Lepisosteus oculatus: one gene and its partners. The protein of the gene in region 3 interacts with the protein of the main gene of each other region in a pairwise test. Links are inferred from orthologs where the notes say so. Each region holds a gene or a part of one and is shown on either strand. Other genes may lie near its edges. The genes, in order: syt16, cert1 and rtn4a.

Region 1 (7,731 bases), on a different chromosome or scaffold from region 3:
AGAGGCACTGGTTACTGAGCCAGGTGACTGAACGCCAGCAGGCTCAGACTGAGACACGGGACGTGCACTGAGAATAGAGTCACTGCAGGCTGCAACATCTACATTACTTCCAAACATGCAACACAGGAGTGGATGGGTAAAGCAATCTTTGAACTACAGCCCCATTCTAACCCTTTTAAAGAAGCTTCAATCATTACTACTATATAATTCTACTCTATACCATACAAGTGAAATGATCATGGAATCTAGCATTGATAAATGAGAGGTTTGGGAATAATCCAACAAATTCATTCAGGTATGCACTTGGCTTTATATATCACTCAGCTACTAGTAACCAAATAAGTTATGATTGGGACAAAGGGCTGCCTCTTGTTTAGAACCTTTCTTCCTGTCTTCTGTTCTAAATTAATAGCATGTGTCTCAGTTCTGAAAACTCTGCTCCACGGCGCCCCATGTGGAGTTTTGGCCTGTGCGGCTAACAGCTGGCAGCCGGCAGAATTGCCCGAGAGTGCTTCCATTTCCCAGGCTGCCCTGCTCCCACTTCTCTCGCAGCGCTCATTAAACAATCTCCTGACCCAAGCCCTGCTGCGCACTGCACTCCTCCACATCGCCAGGTAACACAAACACACTCGGACTCACCCACACTCAGCGGGTGGGAAGTGCCCATTATCGCAGCCTTAATTGGGTTTAAACTGCGCTGAAAGCCCTTTGCAGGTTCACCGCTCTGTTCCTCAGAGAGGGAGTTTGCTCTCACCCAGCGCGTTGTGCACTGAGCTCCTGGCCATGTGACATCACTGCTGGCCTGTGGTGGGCGGCACAGGAACAGGAGAGCAAGCAGGGCAGTGACTCAGAGGCGTATTGTGAAGAAAAATGTGCCGAATTCAAATAAAGGGAAGCAATGTTACATCTGCATAATGCTCTTGTATGACTGTATTTCAACATTGTTCGAGAGCCTCCTCTCTTTTGTAATCTCTTATCTGTCGCCTGGCCGGGCACAGCAGATATTGGCACCATTACCTCACACTGTCAAGCGTTTGCACAGTTCTTATATTCATTCAATCTTACCGTTTAAACCATAGTCCAAACACAGCAAAAGAGACAGTGGACTGGCTGCCTCCCGTGATTATTATTTCATTTTCAAGGCAAGATCTCTTGGAAAAATGACTGACAATGCCTCTAAATTCAAGAACTTTTGGAAAACTAAAGTCAACACACATGTACTGTGCAGGTGCGACTATTTACTTAGAAAAAAAATGTGATCATGTAATGGCCAATGAAGATGTGCCTCATTCACTTCTTTACTAATATTGTGTGAGCGTGACTGGCATGTGAAATAATTCCTCAGCCTAACCTTAATGGATAATTGTGTTGAGTGTGGCTCTTTGATCTCATATAAGCTTGTATATGATAATAATGTTCACAAGCCTTGCTATTTAAACAGATGGTACAACAGGTTGATCTAGTCACCTGGTTGGTAATACCTCACTTTATCCTATTTGATTGCTCCACCTTCCTTCTTCAGAAGCTAAATTCTCTATTGTCTGTTAGACAAACACAAGACCAGAAAGTTGGTTGCAGCAGAGCACCGCTCTCATCTGCAGGACTCCAGGACTGGCTAAGATCACAATCTCCTGGAGACGAGGACACCAGGCAGGGCTGCACCCTGAACAAGACACCAGTGCGGCACAGGAGACACACACACACACGAGCACGGAGGAAAAATGTAAAGACATCAATTAACCTCGTCAACATGTTTTTGGAAGGTGGGAGAAAGCCTATGCAGAGTCAAACATGCCAATTCCACACAAAAACCCCGAATCCAAAAGCTGTGAGGCCGCAACGCCAACCACAATGCCTCCTTTCACCACGCGGCAACTGTTGTTCAGTTCTGTACTGTCAGGAAGTGAGCAGATGCATTGTGGGAAGGCACGCACTGATGAAGAGCATCAGACGACAGTGTTCACAGGCTTGTCAGGGGGGAGGATGGGAATGTCACAGCTGCAGTTAGTAATGAACATAACCCCCAACTATGCAATCAAGACCAACAACCCTATTACGCTATCTAGGGGACTATAGTCGCTTAATACACTGGTGGATAGCAGCGACCACATTTGCAAGCCCAGAAGAGGGTGCTCTGTGATTGTGAAGCATTATACAATGCAGTTAACAGAAGAATTGAGCCCCAGTAAAATACTGCAGTTGTCTTCCTCACAGGAGACCAAGGGCAAGGTCCCAGTCATTTTTAGTCATGCCAAAAAGGAACCAACTGGTTGACTCTTTGACTGTAGGATGCAGTCAACAAGGCCAGGGGATTCCCTCACACAGAATGAAACTCTGGTCAGCGTGGCAATCATTTTCAGACTCTAACAAGGGCTCACTTGTCTTTGATAATTCACCTCATCGGGACAGGTGTACATTTGTAGCAACACAAGAAAAAATTGAACCACACTCCTGAGAACTCTTAAAAACTCCTTGGAAAAATAAAATTGTTTTAACAAATAATCAACCTTATTTTCAATGGCCTGGCAATAATAACAGCTATCGGTCAGGGAGGTGCTCTTGCTCAGAGAGGGAGAGAAGATTGATTATTATTATTATTGATTATTACACTGATACAGGAGCGAGGTTCCAAAACATACCACAATATCCACTGAGGCACAGTATCCTCCAAAGTGTGCGTCTCTGAGCTGTTAAAACAGTAGAAGCGGAAATACTGTCCTCTGAATAGAGAGAAAATTAAATTATTCTGAAACTCCCATTCTTGTATGTAGCCCAAAAGCAGTACGCGGAGATCTGTGATTTATTTTTTGTTCTATGTGTTCTTCAAAGTCACAGCAAACATGACTGGAGTGAGAGGTAATTCGAGAATGAAGAAAACAATTTAAAAAGACATATTTCTACTAACAGGCTTCAGTCTGCAGTTCAGTGACTTTGCAGTGATTTTCACAGGAAGCAGACCAGAACACAGTGAGGGAGACAGTCTGCCAGTCAGCCTGACAATGACACACACAGACCCCTAGCAGACCCGACGGCCTCTTACCCAGACCCTCGTGAATCCCTGCTTTCTCTCGGGAGCGTTTCTTTTTCCTGCGGTGTTCCAGGCAGGGCAGGCCGCCGATCCTCTGGAAACAGAGCTTCTTACTGATGAAGAGGAAGAGCACAGCCAGCACCACGATGAAGACGCCCACCGCAGACAGGAAACCAATGGCCTCAGGTGTGACTACAGACAAACAGACACACAGAACAGCACTTCAGAACAGGCGAGGAGAGAAATGCTCTCGAGAGGCCATTCAGCCCATAAAGCCTGTATGGGAGGTCACTGATTCAAGGGTCTCTCTGGTTTCTTGAAGGAAACAACATGGGCAGCTTGTTCATCTCACAATCCTTTGGATAAAGATGTGCCTCCTGTTTTCAATCATAAATTCACTTCCACATAGTTTTCACTCGTTCCCTCTAGCCCATGTTTCATTGTTCAAACAGAGTACTTGGTCAAATGGGAGGCACAAACACTGGGCTCATTTTTGCACATTGAAGTGCATTCATTGTACATCTACATAGCAACTTGAATAGCCCTGTCTGCCGCAAAGCCTAAAGAGCCTGCAAGGCAGAAAATGAAATCAGATGTCATATTTCTCCACCCAGCACCACATCAAATCTTTCAGTCTGACATGATAGCGGTCAGGCAGAACACCCAAATCTGACAGGAAGACAGACTCCTCGATAAAGAGGTTCTTTACAGGACAGGCAACTCAGCAATAAGGTCACCGGCTCAGACTCTGTATCTTCTGAGGTAAGGAGCAATCTTTCTGTAGCAGATGAAAGTGAATGGATGGGAAGACTGAGGATGAGAGTCAAAGAAAACTGTCGATGTACTGCTCAGAGGTCTCATGAACCAACCAGGCTCTTCAACAAGGTACACAAGACTGTGAGCGAATGTCTTCGGGAGAGAAGACGTCTTGGACCCAGCACTGGAGCGGGTGTCTTCAGTGAGCGCTCGCCCCCTGAAGGGGAATTTTCAGAGGCTGCTGGAAACATCAAAGAGGAGCAACTGTGCTCTTCCCCGTTGCCGCAGCACGCTCCCCAGATGAGGGCTTGCTGAGAACAAACGCAGGGCGAGCGCATTATGCATTCAAACACCTCTCAGACGCTTCACGACATTTACCAGAGTCTTTGTGCCAGTGTCGTGTGGGAAGATATCTTGATTGGCGGGCAGGGAGTGGGGGTGTTGTGTAGTTTTGTGTGCGCTGACACCGATTGCCATTCTCGACTGAAGCGGTCCTGCCTACTCACAACGCTCATCTCTCGCCACAGAAGGAGAGACTGCCTGAAAGGCACAGGATCCAGTCCCTCCCTTCCATTCTCCTTCCAGTTTCTCTTTATTCCATTCCCATGGCATTTTCTGACAGCGCTTTAGCCCTGACAGATACAATAAGCCAAGGTCTCTCTTTATACTGATCCACAGTGGCTTTGTTCGAGAAATAACAGAACCGCCATCAATAATTCCTGAACGTTGTTACTGTAAAACTGCCTCTGTTCCGTTTCAAAGGATTTCAGACTGTCAATTTGTCATTCTATTGACATAGCACCACGCACACAATCCTCCCTCAGTACACATTCTATTCTTGTTTAATTTTCTTCCGCAAGCTGACAAGAAATATGAGCAAATCTAGACACTTATGAAGTCCAGACAGGTACATCAGACTTTCACAGATGTTAAGCATGATACTGTGCTTAAGCCGAATAGTATAATAATTATCGTCGGAGATGTGTCAAATGATATCTTTATTTTCTCAGGTGTAGTAATTAAAGTTCCTAACATATTTAACACATTTTCTAACATATTTTATTATCATATTTATTCCTAACATCTATAGTTACTACATGAGAGCTAGTAGGATGCAGGAGTAACTCAAAACTTTCAAGTCCTCACCAGAACAATCCTAGAATGAACCATCACTGCTCCTGTTGCAACAGGTCTCAAAGTGAGCAGCACACATTTACAGAACACTGCCAAACTGTTGGAATAGCGGTGTATCTCTCTGTCGCCGTCTCTTCAGCTACAGCAACCTCTGATTACAAAAGGGAGAGCAGGAGCAACACAGAGAGGACAGCCGTTCACAGCCAACATCAAACAATCCCACCTTTCTCTGCACTTTCCTGTGCAAGTGCTGTTTTGCTGAATTCCAGGTCTGTACCAAAGAAGCCACAAGGTCCTCTGCAACGTCCCATCTGCCGAATCACCTAGAAGACTAAATTCTCTGAAGACAGCAGTTGCCTCTAACAGACGCCGAAATATCCCACATACCGTTTCTCCCTCCAACTCGCAGGGCTGGAAAAGCAGGTCTGGCCAGTCCTTAGGGGTTTATGCTAACTCATACAAATGGCCCGTGTGCTTAAAAGTTTTCCTCTAAAAGAAAAAGGACAAAACAACCTTCACTTCCTACTGTGCGCTACATCTCCAGCTTTGAAGAAAGACAAGCCCCAGTGGGAACTGCACCCTTGTAGACTTTTGGGATCAGGAGCCCAGAGAGTTGCGGGCTGTAACCAGCCTCTGTATGGGCTGTGCTGGAATGCTGTTTGCTCTGTGATTAACAGACACCGCAGAAGGTCCTGGCTCAGTGGCAGGTGTGGTAGGTGTGTGCCGGCTGCACCTCACAGCGCAGACCCAAGCTGAGCCACGTTAACCTCGCAGCACAGAAAGGACAGGGGCTGGTCCCAGGGTGCATTGTATAGACCTGCACAAAAAAAGCATGTTATTAATTTGGAATGTTACATAATTTACTGAGAATTGAAAAGCCAAAACAAAATCTATTCTTCCTGTTAAAAAGGTATCCTTGAATCTCTCCCTTTGTCCCTGCATATCCATGAAACTGCATCAGATTTCACCCACGCCTGCAAAGCTGGGCCACATCAAACTTAGCAATGCTAATTAAATCAGGGATTTCATTTACACTACCTGTACTTTCTCCTCTCAAAAACTAAACGCAGGTTCTTTTGGGGAATTATATTCTGCACAAGACATTCATTTTCAAGGTGTTTGGGAAATGTAATTTGCTGGGAGTCAGTCACCCCTTTGTTTTCGTGCGGGGACAGTGCTCGGGTACATGGCCTCGAGTTCTTGAAATGTCAGGCTGCTATTTTTGCCAGTGCCTGTGAGAGCCAGAGGTTTGCACAAGGCCTCCCCCCTCCCGAGGAAGGCACAGTGGTCAGTTTCCCTGGTAACCGGCCTCTTCTTCCGCACAGAGTGCTTAAAAGGCAATGTCTCCATCATTCCCGCTGAAAAGGAGAGGTCTATGTTGCCATGGCACCCGGAAGTCTTGTGCGGCAGGGTGAGAGCTTAGAGGCTGGACAAGGAGGAGAGGCTGGTGTGCGGCTTTCAGGCAGGCCCTGAGGAGAGAGGCAGGCCCCGCCAGTGGCAACACCAGGCCCTGAGAGGAGGTGGGGGGATTCACATACTAGGTGACAGAAAATAATAAGTGAGGACCTCCTTGCCCCTGTGCTCATCACTGTTCCTTTTATCTGCAAACACCTTCCCCTCTGGCTGTCCTGGCTGTCCTCTTATAGACCAGCGCAGACCTCTGGCTAGGATGAGGTGCGCCCCCGCTGCCTTCTTACTTTATTCCCTTATCATACATGTCATTACCTGTGACTACGAAGCCAGTTCCCATTCTATTACTAACAGCACAGCCTTGAGGACTCGTGGCTGTGATGGAACATCTATTATAGCACAACAATGATCTGTGTGCGGATATGGATGGTGGTGGACATGCCGCATAAACAATCCCACTGCTTCACTACTGGTTTGGGTTGGCTACTTTGCAAGAAACCCCGGCGTAGAAGTGTTGCTCCTATTTCTTTGCCACTGGTTATTCACGACCGACAGCTCAAACACGCACATGCGCTTCATTAGACTGACATCACCCAAAGAGGCTTTTTCCGTCCATTTACACTCTCGTAAAGGCAAGGACCTTGGGCGGCCAAGAATACACCTAATTACCTGGCAACTGGAGAAGTGCATGGCCCTAGCAACAGCAGAACCACGGGCACGGGAGTGGTGCAGCTCCTGCTCCCGCTGTCTTTCATCCGGCCACATGGGGAGAGGACAAGAGGCCTTCACAGAAAGAATCAGGGGTACTCTGGGAGCACAGAGCGAAAAAAAGCCAAAGGCCCTGCAGCAGCTGATGAGCCACGGAAGTGTTGAAGACCCAGGGAGCACAAGGGAGTGTACAGTCTAGCAGGACTGACTGTCAGTGCTGGACAGCTCTGCCCTCACGCAGGGCTTGCAGAGGGGGAGGTGAGAGGAGGGATGGAGTGGCCGGGAGAGAGGGGTGATTTTGAAAGAGGAATGCTCAGTGGTTCAATATATGGATTTCACGCGGTGGTCTTAAAAAACACATCGGCTCATTTTCTGAAATTGAGTGAAAAAAAACAAAACATTTTCAAACCTTTAAACACTTCCGGAGTAAAAACTGTTGAAAAGCCCCTCCAAAGGTAAATAATCTAAAAGGACAAAACATTAAACGCCTAGCTCACTCCCTCTCTACATCGCTCAGATTCCCTGGGGTACTGGGAATCCTTGTTATAAACCTCACTAAAGCACAAATGCATGTTTCATCTTGTGTTTTACAGATGTGATCTGACATCTGTGAAGCATGCTGTTGGTGAGTTGGATGGTATTATATTGTGATATTATAGCTGTACAGCTTATATCATAGCTATACAGGTAGACCT
Region 2 (7,564 bases), on a different chromosome or scaffold from region 3:
TTTGGCATAAGTAGTAGTCGCATGTTAATAGTAGAATGGGAATCGATAATAGATGTAGTACATGTCCTTCACAAGAGAATGGCAGTCACATCTCATTTATATTTAAAAAATCTCAGTTTTGAAACCAGACTGATTTCAACTATCTTTTTTACACTTTAGTTTCTGAAGCGCCTTTAGAAGATGCTGAGAGCTGCTGAGATTAGATTGGGATTAGTTGGGGGTTCTCTCAATTCTCAGTATAATCCTACTGGGAGTTTGCTGTACTGTCAACGAGGGAGACAGCTCATTCAGAGTAGCTCGAAAGTGGCTTGGTCAGACGAGTCTGCCTAGGCTTCCTCATTCTCCCAGAGTGCAGTCACTGGGATCACAGCTACCAGTCAAGGTGTCCACAACACACCATAGGTGAATCGGTTGTGTAAAACAGAAATAACTGGCAATCCTAAATGTATTTAAAAAACAGTACTGCAGGAAAAGAGATTCACCATGAATTGGTCACGACAATTACATAGACAAAAATAAAATTAACCCAACCCTTGGACACTCAGATTGAGAAGCAATGAATTGATGAAAAGACAAAGAAAAGCCATCATTTTATTCTCTTAGCCCATCATCAAGGGAAATCCATCGTTATTCAGGTCAATTTTCAAACGGAGGACTAAAGCAACAGTCAAAGCAGGGAGTGTAAGGCAGGGTCATATTTATGTAATTTGATAAGTGCAAAAACAGTTGCATACAGCTACAGTACAAACACCAAAACACCAAATGCCAACAAAAACCTACAGTACTCACTTTCCACGTATTATTAATCTTTTTTTTTTTATTTGGGAATTATCAGCTAAATACTGGAAGGCTGTTTTCTTTCAACAACAGAAAATAGACTAATGTGCTATAAATATGACTCAAACTATTTGTCTGTTTGCTTATGTTCTGACAGTTTTGAATCTGACATCTCACATAATATTCTGTTTGTGTAACTTTGCATACTGTACATTCCTGTTTCCTGAGGAGAAAAACAGAAGGAAAACGTCCTGTTTGGTATGTGGTGAGTTGTCAGGCTAAAAACCATGCATTCTGTTTCAACATCCATTCTTGTAATACTGTATGGCAGGGGGGTTGCAAAACCTAATAAGTCACTAACAGCCAGTATCTATGCTTTTCTAAAGCACAAACTGAGTCAATTTCTAATCTGTACAGTGATCTTTTGTTTCAGTGCAACTACACACAAAAAAGCTCTTTGATTAATTATTAAAGAAGTGTACACTGTGCTATTCATTAAGCTTTAATTCTGTTTATACTGTAACATAGTGAAACAGATGTTGAACTATTTTGCAACAGGACAACCTTCATTATTTTAAGCCTGTTAAAACCATCAGTACTAAATCCAGCTTACATCTCAAGATTTTTAAATGAGTCTTACATAATAGGATTCTCTTTATACATTTCCAGTACATCGCTTGGATGCAAATCCTATAATTTCTGTAATAACGTTCATCAGAGATTGGTCTGTCAATAGCACAATTATATTAAAGCATTCCTTCTGCCTAGTGTAATCTAACTCTTGCTGCATCAAAGGCGACCAGAATCATGACTAGAATACCATTAATTAGCAAGTTTTTACTTTGCTTCCAAGTACTGCAACATTAATCAAGAGTTTATTAACTTGAAACACAAAGTGCACCCTTCAGAAACTCTTTAAGCCCCCTTTTTTCCCCAAAGCACTTTCCAGTAAAAAAAGAACCTTACCAGTCCTTCTGCACTATGACTATTTAAAAAATAGCTTTTTTAAATTTTAGCTTTGATTTGAATGAATTTATTTGAATCTATATAGCTAAACCCAATAGATCTTTTTTGTACTCTTATAGTATGAGACCATTAACCAATTTTCCATATGCTCAAATATTGTAACCCAAATATTGCAGTTCTGAAACTAAGCAGTCACTGGTATTAATTCCTACGTTTTTAGTAACTTTATTCTTAGAGGAACACAGCGATCCAATGGATAGTGCAGCAGACACAGGGCACAAGGCAGAACTACATTCCGAATGTGATGATAATCCATTACATGGCACACTCACACAGGTGTAATGGGGTTAGGTTAGTGATGCCAATTCATCTAGACAGAATATATTTGAACTGTGGGAGGAAACCCAGCAAAAACACAACCAGAGAGAACATGCAAATTCCGTATACACAGCAGCCAAGGCCAGACCCAAATCTATGAACCAAGAGCTATAAAACAGAAGCATAAAAGTCTATAACACAATGCTGCTCCATTGCTATAAATGTATAGTCTTTTATAGTTCATTTAACAAAGATGTTGTGTACCACACTCTACACTCAAAGGCTTCTTGTGCTTTGTTTAACAGATCAAGTTACAGTACAACACTTAATATTGTGAGACTGAGACTGTAACACTAGATGAAAGTGTCTTGTTTTTACCATTTTATATCAGATTTTACTAAACAACTGCAAAAAAAACCATTTCAGAATATGGAAATTACAATGAAATACAGATCTTTGAAAATTTTGCTAAGGCAAGAAAAAAAGTATCGTGGCGCTCTTGGGTTCACGGGAGTATGCGCTCTCGCCGCTGCAGCCTCAGGTCGGCCCCCCACCGTCGGGGACTCGAACCCGGGCCTCCGGCGTCACTCGACAGGGAGCCAGCCAGTTGAGCTAAAGGGAAATCTCCCTCAGAACTGCGCTGGTAAGTCGGATGGAACAACCTGCAATGGTGGCCGTATGCGTTACAGTATTAATCAAATGGTAAATTTTACCGTTTACCACATGGAAAGGTTTAGACTTTTTTTTGGAAAAATACTTACTATTTGAAAACTCTTTTCTCACAAGTATTCCACCAAGAATATCGATAGATCCACGACTCACTGTAGAAAAAAACATAAACTTGTTTGAAAAGACATGGCTCGCCCGTACATTGAAAGAGAGCATTATCAAGTTGCAAACGCGTTTTTCTCCTACATTATTCATAGACACGGTACTTAAAAAGTCAGTTAGCTATTATGAGCTGTTAAAAACAGTCACATCATTACAAATTAATATGGTTCTCTCTCTAAAGTGCAAACTATTAACCACCTACTCTGCTACAACATCAAAAGCATCTGCTAATGCAGTAATTTGGGTCTATATTAATAACAAATCTGCTATTTTAGCTTAATATTAATGATGGAATACGATCAATGCTTCAACAGTTCTTTTGGGGGGTATTATAGAAAAGCCCGTCTTAAGTGCAGTAATGGAGCTGTCTGGACTTTCATTTCAGCAGAGGTTTACAGTTCAAATTTTAACTGACAGCAACTTCGATCCTTCACGGCTGGAGCGAAAGTGTCAGTAAACGTGGAGACGTTGGACAAGATGCCACTATCAGTCGAGCCAGACATTATTTTACACTTTGTGTCATTTTACATTTTCGAAATTCAGAAAGGAGATTTTTTTCTTCCATCCGTGTAAACATCTTCAGTACTTAATTAAAACACTATCACAAAAGAAAACAAATGAAAAGATGACTTATTTACCTTGGTAAGCAACATTACGCTGTACAATTAGCAGCCTATGTTTTACATGTCTTACGTGTAAATACCCATACACTTTACTTATTATAGTTGTACATTCTGCTTCTCTTCAATTCAAATTTAAAACGTTTCTTTAAGCGCCAATAAAATACAATGTCAACTTCCTGAAATCCGGAGGCTGGCTGGCGCAGAGGCTTTCGCGTTTCCGCTACCACGCCTCCTCCTGAGCCAGTAACAGACATATTTGTTGAGGGCAGATAAATGTAGCGAAAAATGCACATGCCCTTTTTACAGTCTTCTATTTTTGCATTATTAGCTTTACATATTGAAAATTTTCATTTTAATCCTCCAGCTTTATTTAAATGATATTATCAATTTAAATAAAATCCCATTTGTAAAATAATATTAGGTATAAAATAACATAAAATAACGCCTTTCAGCAGTTTTCAGAATAATTTTATTTTAATTCATGCTAATACAATCTTCACCGGCAGTCAGTGCCAGTTTAATCTCTTAAACATATGGAAAAATTAGGCAGTCTGAATAAAACTATTGCGTTTTTTACGCTTGTCAGCAGCTCTGGGTTTCCGAAATGTGCTAAACCAATGCATTTGCAAAGTTTATCTCTTAATCCTGACAAACCAACATGTACGCTCTTATCATAGGCGTTGCGAGAGAATGCACTCTGGGGAGACTGTCCTTTCGGAAATGGGCAGAAATTAAGGCTAAGTGACGCCTACCACCCTGTACACAAGCGACAGAAATAGGGAGTAGCAGAGTGCGCATGAACACCCATTCATGCCTGTAAACTAATCCTCGAAAGTGTGAGAGAAGCAAAAACAGCCCTTGCCACTGCCCGCGCCCCAGTGACATCCTTGACAACCGTTGCCACTTAGACATCGATTCCCGAATGACACTTCCTAATAGGTTCACCTCCCCAGCCGGGATGGTTCCCGTGACGTCAGCTTCAGAGCCAGCGCCCCTCCACTGTCCGTGGCACGCGCAGCACACGCACGCTCAGGAGGGCAGGAGAGCGAGGGACGTCAGAAAAGATGGCGTCTGTTTAGGCCAGTCGGTCTCGCCCCCTTCTCACACTCAGCTCGTTTAACACAGGGCTCTGTCGAGGAGCGGAGAGAGGGATTTGCGCATTTAAACCAGTTCTCCCGTGGACTTGGACGAGTGTTGTTTTAGCTGCTGAAGTTGTGACTCTTTCCTCGCCGTTGTGCTTTTTCACAGCTTCAGTGAAACCGATGAAGGGGGCGGGTTTTGCCGAGAGGATCATTAATAAGTGTTATTAGTTTTTATCCAGGTGTATCAGCAGTCATCGCCTTTGACCAGTGTTGTCTCGCATTTACCGAAACCCCGTTCTCTTTTTTTCCCTTGGGATTTTTTTTTTGTCTGTCTGAGTTTCGCAGACTGTTTAGCACTTCTGTGATTCCCTCGTATTTGGATTTTGCGTTCTGTTATCGCCGAGACGCGATGTCGGACAATCAGAGCTGGAATTCCTCGGGGTCTGAGGAGGATTTGGAAACCGAATCCGGGCCGCCTGTTGAGCTCGGTGGGATCCTTAGCAAGGTGAGGCAGCGGGTGGGGGAGATCAAATCCCAACGCCAGGTTTGCACTCTAAAATTCCCGATAAATGGAGGAATGGTTTTGCGTTAGTGGCTCGGATGGCTAGGGTCCGTCCCCCGTCTCTTAAACGGCAAGGGGTTCGCCGTCGTCAATTTTCTGTTTCAGTTCAGACTTTGGCTTAGAGGGATTTCAAACTGCCGAAGAGATCGGTCAGAAAATAAAATCGTTTACGTTTGTTCTCGTGTCCTTCAATATCCGGCTTGCCGAAATCGACAGGCAGAAAATGATGTAAAAAGTGTCTTGACTTGTTTTAACTGTGTGAGTGCTTTGGAAATGGGGAGTCTTCCACGAAATGCTGTAATGGGATGTCATTGTCCATCTTTTTGTTTTCCCGAATACTTTGATTTAAACCACCCGATCGCTAGTAATTGCCTAGCCAAAAGCCTAAGCAGTTTTGATTGCAATCTTTTAGTCCGTATAATATTTTTCCTTATCCGCACATCATCACGTGCATCATCTGGTCTGTCAACCGCCCTGCAATCCGGAGAGCGAGCAGAGGCCAATGTATTAACGCACTTGGCCCATATGTGTGTTATAAATGATCGAATTCATGATCAGTGTGCTGCTTTTATGTGGCATTGGGAAAAAATAAACCTGTTTGCACCCGAAGCAGCAAGGACGTGAACATACGTTTTTTAGATTAAACTAGGGTTGGAAAAATTAAGACTTCTCAGTTCCTCCGCACATGATGTCTTGGATATGAATCTAATCTGCTTTTGCATGTTGGTGCGAAAACAGATTAGCCTTTTCGAGTAAAAGGGCTGCGCAGTTGTTGCTTTAGGGAGTTCGGTGAGAGAGCCCTGTAGTGTAATAAAAATGTTTGTTTTTTTTTAAAGTTCCGACACTTTCTGCTTCGAGGAGGATTGAGGAATTGTTACGGGTGGCGTTGAAAAGCAGCGAAATTGACAACCTGGTCTAAAAAAAAAAACACGTGATCCGACTGAATCGTAAACGCTTTCTTGACTTTGGATAAAAGGTTTATTTTCCTATCAGATTCTAACCTCCTGCTCTTGGATTTCACTGGGACACAGCTTAAATGTTTGTTTTAATCGAGTCTCACTATGTGTAGTATATCAAAGGCTGTTTTCAAGACCGGCGGTGATTAATCGTGCCAAAATCTCATCAGTGTGAAATGTGGACAAGTCAACAGCAAAACCGTTTTGTTTCCTATTTGACGCCCAGTCGTAACCTGTCACGCCTGCGGACCTTATCATAGAGCAGTAATGTGCAGATCATGATTCCGACCTCGTGTGTGTGTGACTGAACACCCTTAATTTCATTTGATTAGTCTCACAGGTATTGTCGACTACCATAAATTAAGCGTTGAGGTCAATGTTAATTTATTACAGTATTCTTTAACCCACAGGGACGGAGTTTAAACATGTGGCGCAGTGGAGAAAAGTACCCTAAATAAAGCAGCGACCAACAAACGTAATAAATATTAAGACGTATGGATTCATTTAATCGTTTAAATAAAATGCGTAGGTACCTGACATTATCCCCCTTCCTTATTGATCGGCGCATCGATAACTGCATTGACACTTTTCGAAACGTTCTGTTGCAAACTTGAAATTCGCAGCCCTAGTTTTTCAATAATAATAAAAAAACATTTAGATACAAAATGATTTTTTAAAGGATCCTTTGTGGGTTTTTTTCTTCAGTGGACCAATTACATCCATGGATGGCAGGATCGCTGGGTGGTTTTAAAAAACAACACCTTGAGCTACTACAAGTCCGAAGATGAGCGGGAATATGGCTGCAGGGGATCTCTGTGTCTCAGTAAGGCTGTCATCACGGTAAGGCCTTTTAAGGCTTTCTCTACTGCCTGCATTATTGTTTACTCTGATAGGCTTCTCCGCATAAAGTATGTCTTCAAGTCGGACATTTAGGGTTCTCCAGGTGTTTTAGTAAGGCATCTGACCTGATATGTGGTTTATACCTGTTTCAATAACACATTTTTTTTTTAGCGGCACAAAGGGATTCTGGTATGGTGGTAGCTGTCTTTTAAGGAACACTTAAGCTAGGAATGCAAGAAGTGCTTTCAGTTTGGTGTCCAGTTGTCTAGCATGTGAAGGACAATATACGCTGTCAATTTCAGTTCAAATTCTAGGAAAACAAATATTTAATCCCCTAGTCTCTCAAACTGTTTCCTGTAACTGCAAGTTTGTTTTTATTTCTATTACTATACATGTTTTGGAGACACTTTTTCACTTCAGAATTTCCATACTCGCTTTCTTCTCTGCAAAGTATTCAGATCCACTCCTTTTAGCCTTAAGCATTAAACTGCTGTGGTGCAAACAGCAGGGGGTTTTGATCCAAGCCTACATAATAACCTGTAGTCGTGCATGTGGCATTTCAGCAACAGGTTTTGCTGGTATGCACTGTCAGAAAATGGTATTCTTCTA
Region 3 (7,690 bases):
CAATAGAGCAAACGCAACCTCTGAATAGAGAGACTGGCTGCTGTACGACAAGAGCAAGAGGACCAGATGGATTTAGTCTTAGGCTCAACTTACCTGACAGACGCTCTCAGCACGCAGAGCAAAAGTTGCACCCGCTCTCACCCACTGAAATGCCCAACCAGGCGTCATCCACATGGCCGAGCAAGTTCCTAAGCTCTGGGCCTCGTTACGCGTCAAAACACAGCACAGTGACTCTAAGCACTGTAAACACTCTGGATAGGTTACGCCCAAAAACCAAGCCAAGCTGAACTGCCAATGTCCCTGAAGGGACTTTAACATAACAAAAAATAATTCCCAGCCTAGTCTCCCTGCGCTTGTGTAAAACGACATTGATAAGGGTGTGGAATAGACTCTAATATGAAAAAATGGACTGAGCCGGTAGAATAAGACAGCTTAGTTAAGAATGGAGAGTCGTCCTGGTGGGCGCTCAGTGGTGGATGAAGTGGGTGTGCTCTGATATGCAACGTGTATAAGGATCCTTGGAGATGAAAAGCGATTCATGAAATGCAATTAATGAAAGGGCTACGGTACATGGTGATTATTGACATGGGAGATGATCGATAGATGGATGACTGATAGATCTGGGTGAGGTGGTGGTGAGCCGCTCTTTGCTAGGTGCATCAGTACCATGAACTCCTGACCATAACACTCCCATTGCCTTTCAAGATATCTGCCATGTTATTGACTCTGATAACCAATGAAAAGCTGAAGCAGTTCAATTGTTCAGCCAAGGACCCCTGGAAGGATGAACCCCATTCCAGTCCTGGTCAGTATGGTTCAAAAATGTCTTATTTGTTTTCAGAGTTAAGGGATAGGATGGGCGTGTCTTTGAGCTTTAGCAAATAACTGTAGTAACATTTGGAATCATATACATGCAGAAATAAATATTATTAAAAGGACAAAACTGAAAAGAATCAGCTACATAAATGATCTTGTCCTCCACTCACTCCAGAAGTGTTTGATGTTGGAGTTGTCACGCCCTCTGTAGCCAGAGGGCGCTCCTTCTCTGTCCTGTCCCTAGTTTCTGGTCTGCTGTCCTTCCGGTCCCTCTCTTTCCCTTGGGCTATATTTTTCCGGGTCTTGCACTCTGCCGGGGCTCAGCATTGATGTTCGGATGTCCTGAGACCCGCCTAGCACCAGGTCGCCCCACGTCCGCTACCTGAGGGCATAGGTTTCTATACGGCATTCCTGAACTCTTTGCACTACGAGCACGGGCCTTTTTCCCGTCTCGCCGCTACGCAAATGGATCTTTTTCCGCTCTCCTGCTGCCCTCGGGTAGCCCCTTTGGACGTCCGTGACAGGAGTCCTGTGACTCAACACCACAACACCACAGATATCTACAGAGCTCTTAGCCTTTCATATCTGTGTTACGGGGCTGGAATGCTTCTGTGATTGGTTCACTGCTGCTTTTGGAAATAAAGGTGTCGGAGGGAGAGATTTTTGCACACGAGACATGTAAAACAAGACATTAAGAGTTAAGAGTTTTAATGCTGTAAATGCTGTAAGGTGAAGCTGGCATGAGCTTTGATGAGGCAGTATTGTAGTAAGTAGTTAAAACAACTCACACCTGAAGAAGGCTTCACATCCAAAACATTGTGTTTTTTTTCTTCTCTTTTCAGCAGGGAATAAACCTATTACTTGTTCCCTTGCAGCCTACGCATGCTGACGCAGCTCCCCACCTGAACTACTGTAAAAACAACGTACTTGTAAGCTTAAGCCTTATTGCCACATGTTGTTTTAAGACGTGTATGTCTCTCTAATTTATTTTTACTTCCACTGTATCTTTACTTGGAGATTTTGTTCTTCGGCCAAAGTCCTTCTTGGAAACTGGTTAGATCAGCAACTGGGCCCACTGCTCATATCCAGAACAAGCAAACTGGAACCCAGCGACAGTGGTCACTGTCTATTGTGGAAAGGCCATGGAGCTGTGTGTGGCACAGAGTAAGGAGATAAAAGGAATGATTAAACACAAACTGGGGCTGCTGGATAAAGGTGTTGATTGGTTTTAAACTGCTGGCAGAAAGCAATCAGTTTGAATTACTGGATTGGGGAACCGGATATCTGTTAAGCACATGTGCGGCAGAGATACACAGGACAGATGTGTGTGTAACTCAGCCAGCATGCACTGTATGTGGTGCAACAGTCTAGGGTGGGATAATGGGAAGTTGTGGTCATATGTACACAGATAGGGCAACTTTCACACTCTTCTGGGGAGAGACTGCAGAGGACGGAACAGAGAATCACGCAAAACAAAGCCCCCAAGATGGAGGGGTAGTTCAGTGCATCTCTCAACGTTGCAGTACGTACTGTCAGCAGGGGCTCTATCTCTTATAGAGTCGAAAGATCTGAGCCCTAAAAATAGCCCTGGTGCCTCAGTTTAGACCGCAGCTATTTCTGTTACAATACGAGAAACAGCCTGTTGCGGGGGAAAGGGACTTGGCTTTCGAAATGCCTCGTAGTCCCAGTATTGGACCAGCACAGAGGTGACAGAGGTAACCACAGGGCACGAGTCTTTGTATGTCACATTACGATAAACAATACAGTATATCTGCACAAACTGTAGAGGTGGATGTCTGCCCCGTGCATCATCAAAACATGGGAAGAGTTAATGTAATAATGTTAATGTTGCTTTATTAGCCCTATACAATTTCTTGCATTAGGAATTCGGCTTTTCACATACCCCAGCTTGCTCTCCATGAGACACAGACACATATACAGGGAGAGAAGCTTGGGATCAGAGCACAGGGTCTGCCATTGTACAGCGTCCCTGGAGCAGTTGGGGTTAAGGGCCTTGCTCAGGGGACAACAGAGTAGGATTCCTCTGCCGGCTGCAGGATTTGAACCGGCAACCTTCCAGTCACAGGCACAGATCCTTAGCCTTCGCTCCGCCCGTTACTTGTTACTAATGAGAGGAGGCCTTTCAGCCCATCTAGATTGTTTGTAATAATAAACTCCTTAAACTTATATAGCGCTTTTCTGGACTCTACACTCAAAGTGCTTTACAGGTAATGGGGATCCCCTCCACCACCACCAGTGTGCAGCCATAGTGCACCAGTACACTCCCCACACACCAGCTCTCAGTGGGGAGGAGAGCAGAGTGATGAAGCCAGTTCAGAGATGGGGGTTAGGAGATCATGACTGGTAAAGGTCAGGGGGAACTTTGGCCAGGACACTGGGGTAACACCCCTACTCTTTTCAAGAAACACCCTGGATCTCGTCCAGTTGTCTCTTTAAGACCTCTGGGGTATCAGCTTCAACAACAGGGCTGGCTAGCTTGTTCCGGGCTCCCACAACCCCATTGTGTCTGTTTGTGTTCAAGCTCAGGTGTTGGTGAGTTTCAGTGCTGGCGTCTTCCTATCCAAACAGCACAGACTCGCAGGGCCCATCGTACAGCAGAGAAAAGACTGGCCTCGAGCCACTTTACAAAGAGGAACGCGCACTGAAAGAGCACATGTCTGCAGGCACAGCAGAGAAAATGAATGGCTGAAAACAAAAAAAAGGGGGTTGTATCGGCAGCTGTCAGTAAAATTAACCCAAACGCAGAGAGGCAAAGAGAGATGAATTAAAAATGAAAGCTATTGTTAATGGCTCATTCATTTGCCAATGTGTCAGGCTTCACTGCTGCTGTTTACGTCTCAGTATAATGGAGACCCAGGCCAAGTTTGTATTGTAAATAGCTGAAGAGCAAGGCAGCTCTTACAACTGTAACTGCAGACATCTGCAGTGTGTCACAATCAGCGAGGACTCACGTGGATTCTTTCTCAGCTCTCCGAATTGAAAAACAGTGGGCATTGCCCACACCAAAAGGCCAGGAACTGACCCACAGGAACATACAGATTTTCTTAATCACCTAAATATTTAACGAGCTCCCTTTTGTAAACTTGAAGGGACACAGCTGTGTGTCAGCTCTCATAATTCTGGCTCTTTTTTTCGGAGTCATCCAGTAATTAGATGAGCTGATGTAACAGAGGGGAAGTCTATGAGGTCACCGAGTGCAGTCAAGGTGACCAATACTATACAGAAATACCTCTTTTGGGATGACGGTAAAAAAAAAGCTATAATACGTTATAGCTTGTTATAACGACTGGAATGTTATAATACGACTGGAATTCATTTATCTTCTCTTCCAAGGTTTGAATACGTCTTTACTACACGGTCTGTCTCTCACTGCTGCTTTATCAGCTACAATAACTGGAACATCTCCTTTTTATGGCGCACTGACAATATCGCCAGAGCCTTTATCGATCACAGCCTACACGCAGGACTGTATATCGTTAATTATTTACTTTAACAGCGAAGGTTAGGCCCGTGAAACCTGCCAGTGGTGGTACCGGCGTTTTATAACATCTTGGGGAAAAAAATGCACGCTTTTCGCTACAAGAAATGTTGCAGATAACTTTCGATCTGCTTTGTCACACTTTTCACGTATCCTCGTCTTCCGTGGTTACAGCCGCGTTACTAAGCAAAACTCCCAACGACACCGGAGATTGAAACCGCTGCAGATTGGTGGGAGCCGGGGGATGGGCGTGGTCCTTTGTTCGGCCCTCACCTTCGTGGCGGGGCGGTAGAAAAATAGTTGGGAGGGGGGAGGGAGGAAGAGCCGGGTTGGTCGGGGCGGACGTCAGTCAACCGAGATCGGCGCGCTGATTGGCCGAGGTCCGCTGAAGGGCTCCTCCGGGCACCGCAGTGTGGCGCGTTGCGCGTGCGAGAGGCTCCCTGTTCTGTCCTACGCTCTCGTGGCCGTGGCGCACTTGTTCAGTTCATCTCCGCCGGAAGGCAGCGACTAGCCAGCCCAGCGCAGCTACTCGGGGGGGGAGAGAGAGAGAGAGAAAAAAAAGGAGCACTTTCACTAGAAAGGTGTGTGTGTGGGGGGGAAAATCTTGGGTACACACCTTATAAAGAAGGGCTACACAGGGGGCGACTCCGGACACGAAAGAGGAAATGGAAGACGCGCAGCACATCTCGTCCACGACGCCCGGCGTCGATGAACTCCGCAAACTTCAGGGGGACCCCGACAAGATGGACGAGAGCAAGTTGTACGACGAAGCCGCCGGCTATCTGTTGCAGGAGAGCGGCGGCGGCTCGCCCAGGCCGCTGGCCGACGACGATATCCTCGACCTGGCCGGCGGCGCCCGGGATGCTCTCCTCCGGCACCGCTCCGCCACCCCGCCGGGGACCGGGGACCCGGACAGGGACCTCTACTCGGAGTTTGCCCCCGCGGCCGAGCCCGGCGATCTGCTGACGGGGATGGGCGGCTTCGGGGCGCCCTCGGTGAAGCAGGCGGCCGATAGCCCCCCGAAACCGGAGCCGCCCAGAGCCGCCCCGCGGAGCCCGGCCAGCGACCCCTCTCCCGCCTCCTCCTCCTCCTCCTCGGCGGCCTCCTCCCCAGGTGAGCACCGGTGCCCCTTTCGGAGGAAAAAGACAGTTTAATTTAGGCGTGTCTGAAGCGGGTGGGTACTTCACCCGGCCCACGGCCCCTGGGGGGGCCGCACTTCTGTCTCGCGGAAGTTGGGGCGCTAGACAATGGCCGTGGCTGCGCCCGAGGAGCCGGGAGCCTTTGTCGCGTGTGTGTTTGTGTTCCTGTATTATTGCACAAATAAAGCACAACTTCAATGCCGCGTTCCCGAGGCGGGGGGTGGCCCGGAGAAGCGCGGTCCGATGACTCTCACGCCGGTGCTGCCCACCTGTGTCGCCCCGGCGAGACGCGGGGGATCCGGGGGACCCGCAGCCGCTAACGGCTCCTTCTCAAACGGAAACGCAGTGCGCGGCTGAGAGAGATGAGATAGTTGTTTGCCCCTTTTGCACAGTATTTTAGGATCGCGTCCTGTGTGTGTCTGGGGGGGGTGGTAGTTCGTTTTGGGGTTGTTTTGGGGGGGTGAATTGTCCCTGAGTCAGCAGCCATTTTTCTCCAGCTCCTGGGTGGTCGAGATGTAATCAGGGGGTCGGGATAAGGACCTGTCTGTGTCTTGTCTGTGTGTGTTTTAGTTGCTATGGCGTAGTCCCATACCGGGGAGAGCTTGCACAGACCGTCGCGGCCGTCAAAAGATGTTTTTTTGTAATTCTTTTGCTGACGACGGGACTCCCCCTCCCTCCTGACTGATGCGCTATAATGCCGGCCAGGCTCTTGTCTCGGCGAGGCGGCTGGCTGGCTGCACTCGGACCCGACATCCCGATCCGGTTCGGGTCCGGTGTTCCGGGGTGGATCGACCGATGGGCGTGGGTCCGACAGGTGCTGGGAGTGAGATGGCCCGAGCAGACAGCCCCCCCGGGGGGGAGGGGGCGCAGATTTGGCCAGCTGTAGCCCTGGGGACGCTGTTTGGGACCCGACCCCCCCGCTGATCTGTGTGTGAAGTGATTAAGCTGCTGGCTTTTCTGGGGGGGGTGAGAGAGGTGTAGCGCAGTATCTGGGGGGGAGGCGACAGCAGGCGCACAGGTCAGGAGGCCCTGGTGGTGGGCCGGGCTGGGCTTGCTCCGACGCCGAGCAGACTGCAGCGCCAGTCTGCGCCCACGGCCTTGGAGAGGCGGGTGCGGTGTGTCTGCAACAAAATGATCTCCGACAGGAAAGTAGTCTCCATACGGAAACAGCGGACGAGCGGCCAGACAGAAATGAGAATCCCGCACATGTTCTTTAAGGGAAAGAAAGACCTCATCATATCATCCAGGCGAAACCTGTGGCTTCTTGATATCCGCGCTGTACCCCGCGCCGGGGAGGGGTACCTCCGGCGCCGGCTTTGTTTTAGTGGGTGATGTCATGCTCTGCGGCCGACAGGGGCCGTAATATACGATCCCACAGATAAGCACATGCTCGGCTACTCCTTATTTGTTTAATTATTTACAATAAAATACCTCTCGTTCTTTCAATTGACACACCGCCCTATGCGTCTAAACAATCGTATTAAAAAAAAAAGTGCAATCATAGGGATATGAATTAGACTTTCTCCAAGGCAGGCAGATAGCCACAGTATTCTGTCTCCAGTGCTTCTCAGGGTATTGTTTTAAAGCCCAGGGGATTTGGCCTTGATCTGTTTATCTTCCATAATCCCTTTGTACTGTAGCTGCTGATGCATATGTACCTACACCAGTTTCACATGCTGCACATGTTTTCTTCAGCTCCTTCCAATGTAGGACTTCTGTTCATGCAGGCTCGTTTACAAGGCATTCATGTAATATGTTCTGTAAGCATGTTACACGTTTTTTTTCCAATTAAACTGCTTCTCCTCCTCTACCCAAATTTCGGGTTTAGAAGAGAGACTTTGCTCTTATGTGCTTTTTTGGGCCAGATTTAGGAGCTTCATGAAAATGCCGTACCTAGCTCAACAGGACACAGAAAACCCATTTGGACAAATTCAGTTAAAAATGGCGTTTCATGTTTTATACTTTATATAATAATGTCGAGACGGTTGGTTCTGAAGGCCTGTGGGTGATGTTGCCTAGCCAGTTCAGGGAAAAGGGTTAATTCTCAATAACTTTGCCACCTTGATTGGCTTTTCAGAGGTCATGCCATTTAGCAGTTTGTTGTGTTTACTGGGTTTCTAAGGACCAAACTAATATAATCATCAGCTGCAGACCCTCAGATTATCTGAGTGCATGTAGCGTGACTGTGAGTCACTATTGCCACAGCAGCTGTGTAAAAGACTATCCAGTCGGTGGT

Evidence for each region.
Region 1: the proteins of rtn4a (region 3) and syt16 interact in binary tests that used the Homo sapiens proteins (3 or more experiments, as listed by UniProt). The link is inferred for Lepisosteus oculatus from reciprocal best matches to the Homo sapiens genes RTN4 and SYT16.
Region 2: the proteins of rtn4a (region 3) and cert1 interact in binary tests that used the Homo sapiens proteins (3 or more experiments, as listed by UniProt). The link is inferred for Lepisosteus oculatus from reciprocal best matches to the Homo sapiens genes RTN4 and CERT1.

Annotation. Positions count from the first base shown.
Region 1 is NC_090703.1:7,514,827-7,522,557, reverse strand, and holds the start of syt16 (synaptotagmin-16), read right to left. Parts: upstream 3,033-7,731; 5' UTR 1-3,032. UniProt on the Homo sapiens protein: May be involved in the trafficking and exocytosis of secretory vesicles in non-neuronal tissues. Is Ca(2+)-independent.
Region 2 is NC_090698.1:43,350,600-43,358,163, forward strand, and holds the start of cert1 (ceramide transfer protein), read left to right. Parts: upstream 1-4,525; 5' UTR 4,526-5,006; coding exon 5,007-5,102; intron 5,103-6,820; coding exon 6,821-6,955; intron 6,956-7,564. UniProt on the Homo sapiens protein: Shelters ceramides and diacylglycerol lipids inside its START domain and mediates the intracellular trafficking of ceramides and diacylglycerol lipids in a non-vesicular manner.
Region 3 is NC_090712.1:3,327,077-3,334,766, reverse strand, and holds the start of rtn4a (reticulon-4a), read left to right. Parts: upstream 1-4,627; 5' UTR 4,628-4,980; coding exon 4,981-5,428; intron 5,429-7,690. UniProt on the Homo sapiens protein: Required to induce the formation and stabilization of endoplasmic reticulum (ER) tubules. They regulate membrane morphogenesis in the ER by promoting tubular ER production.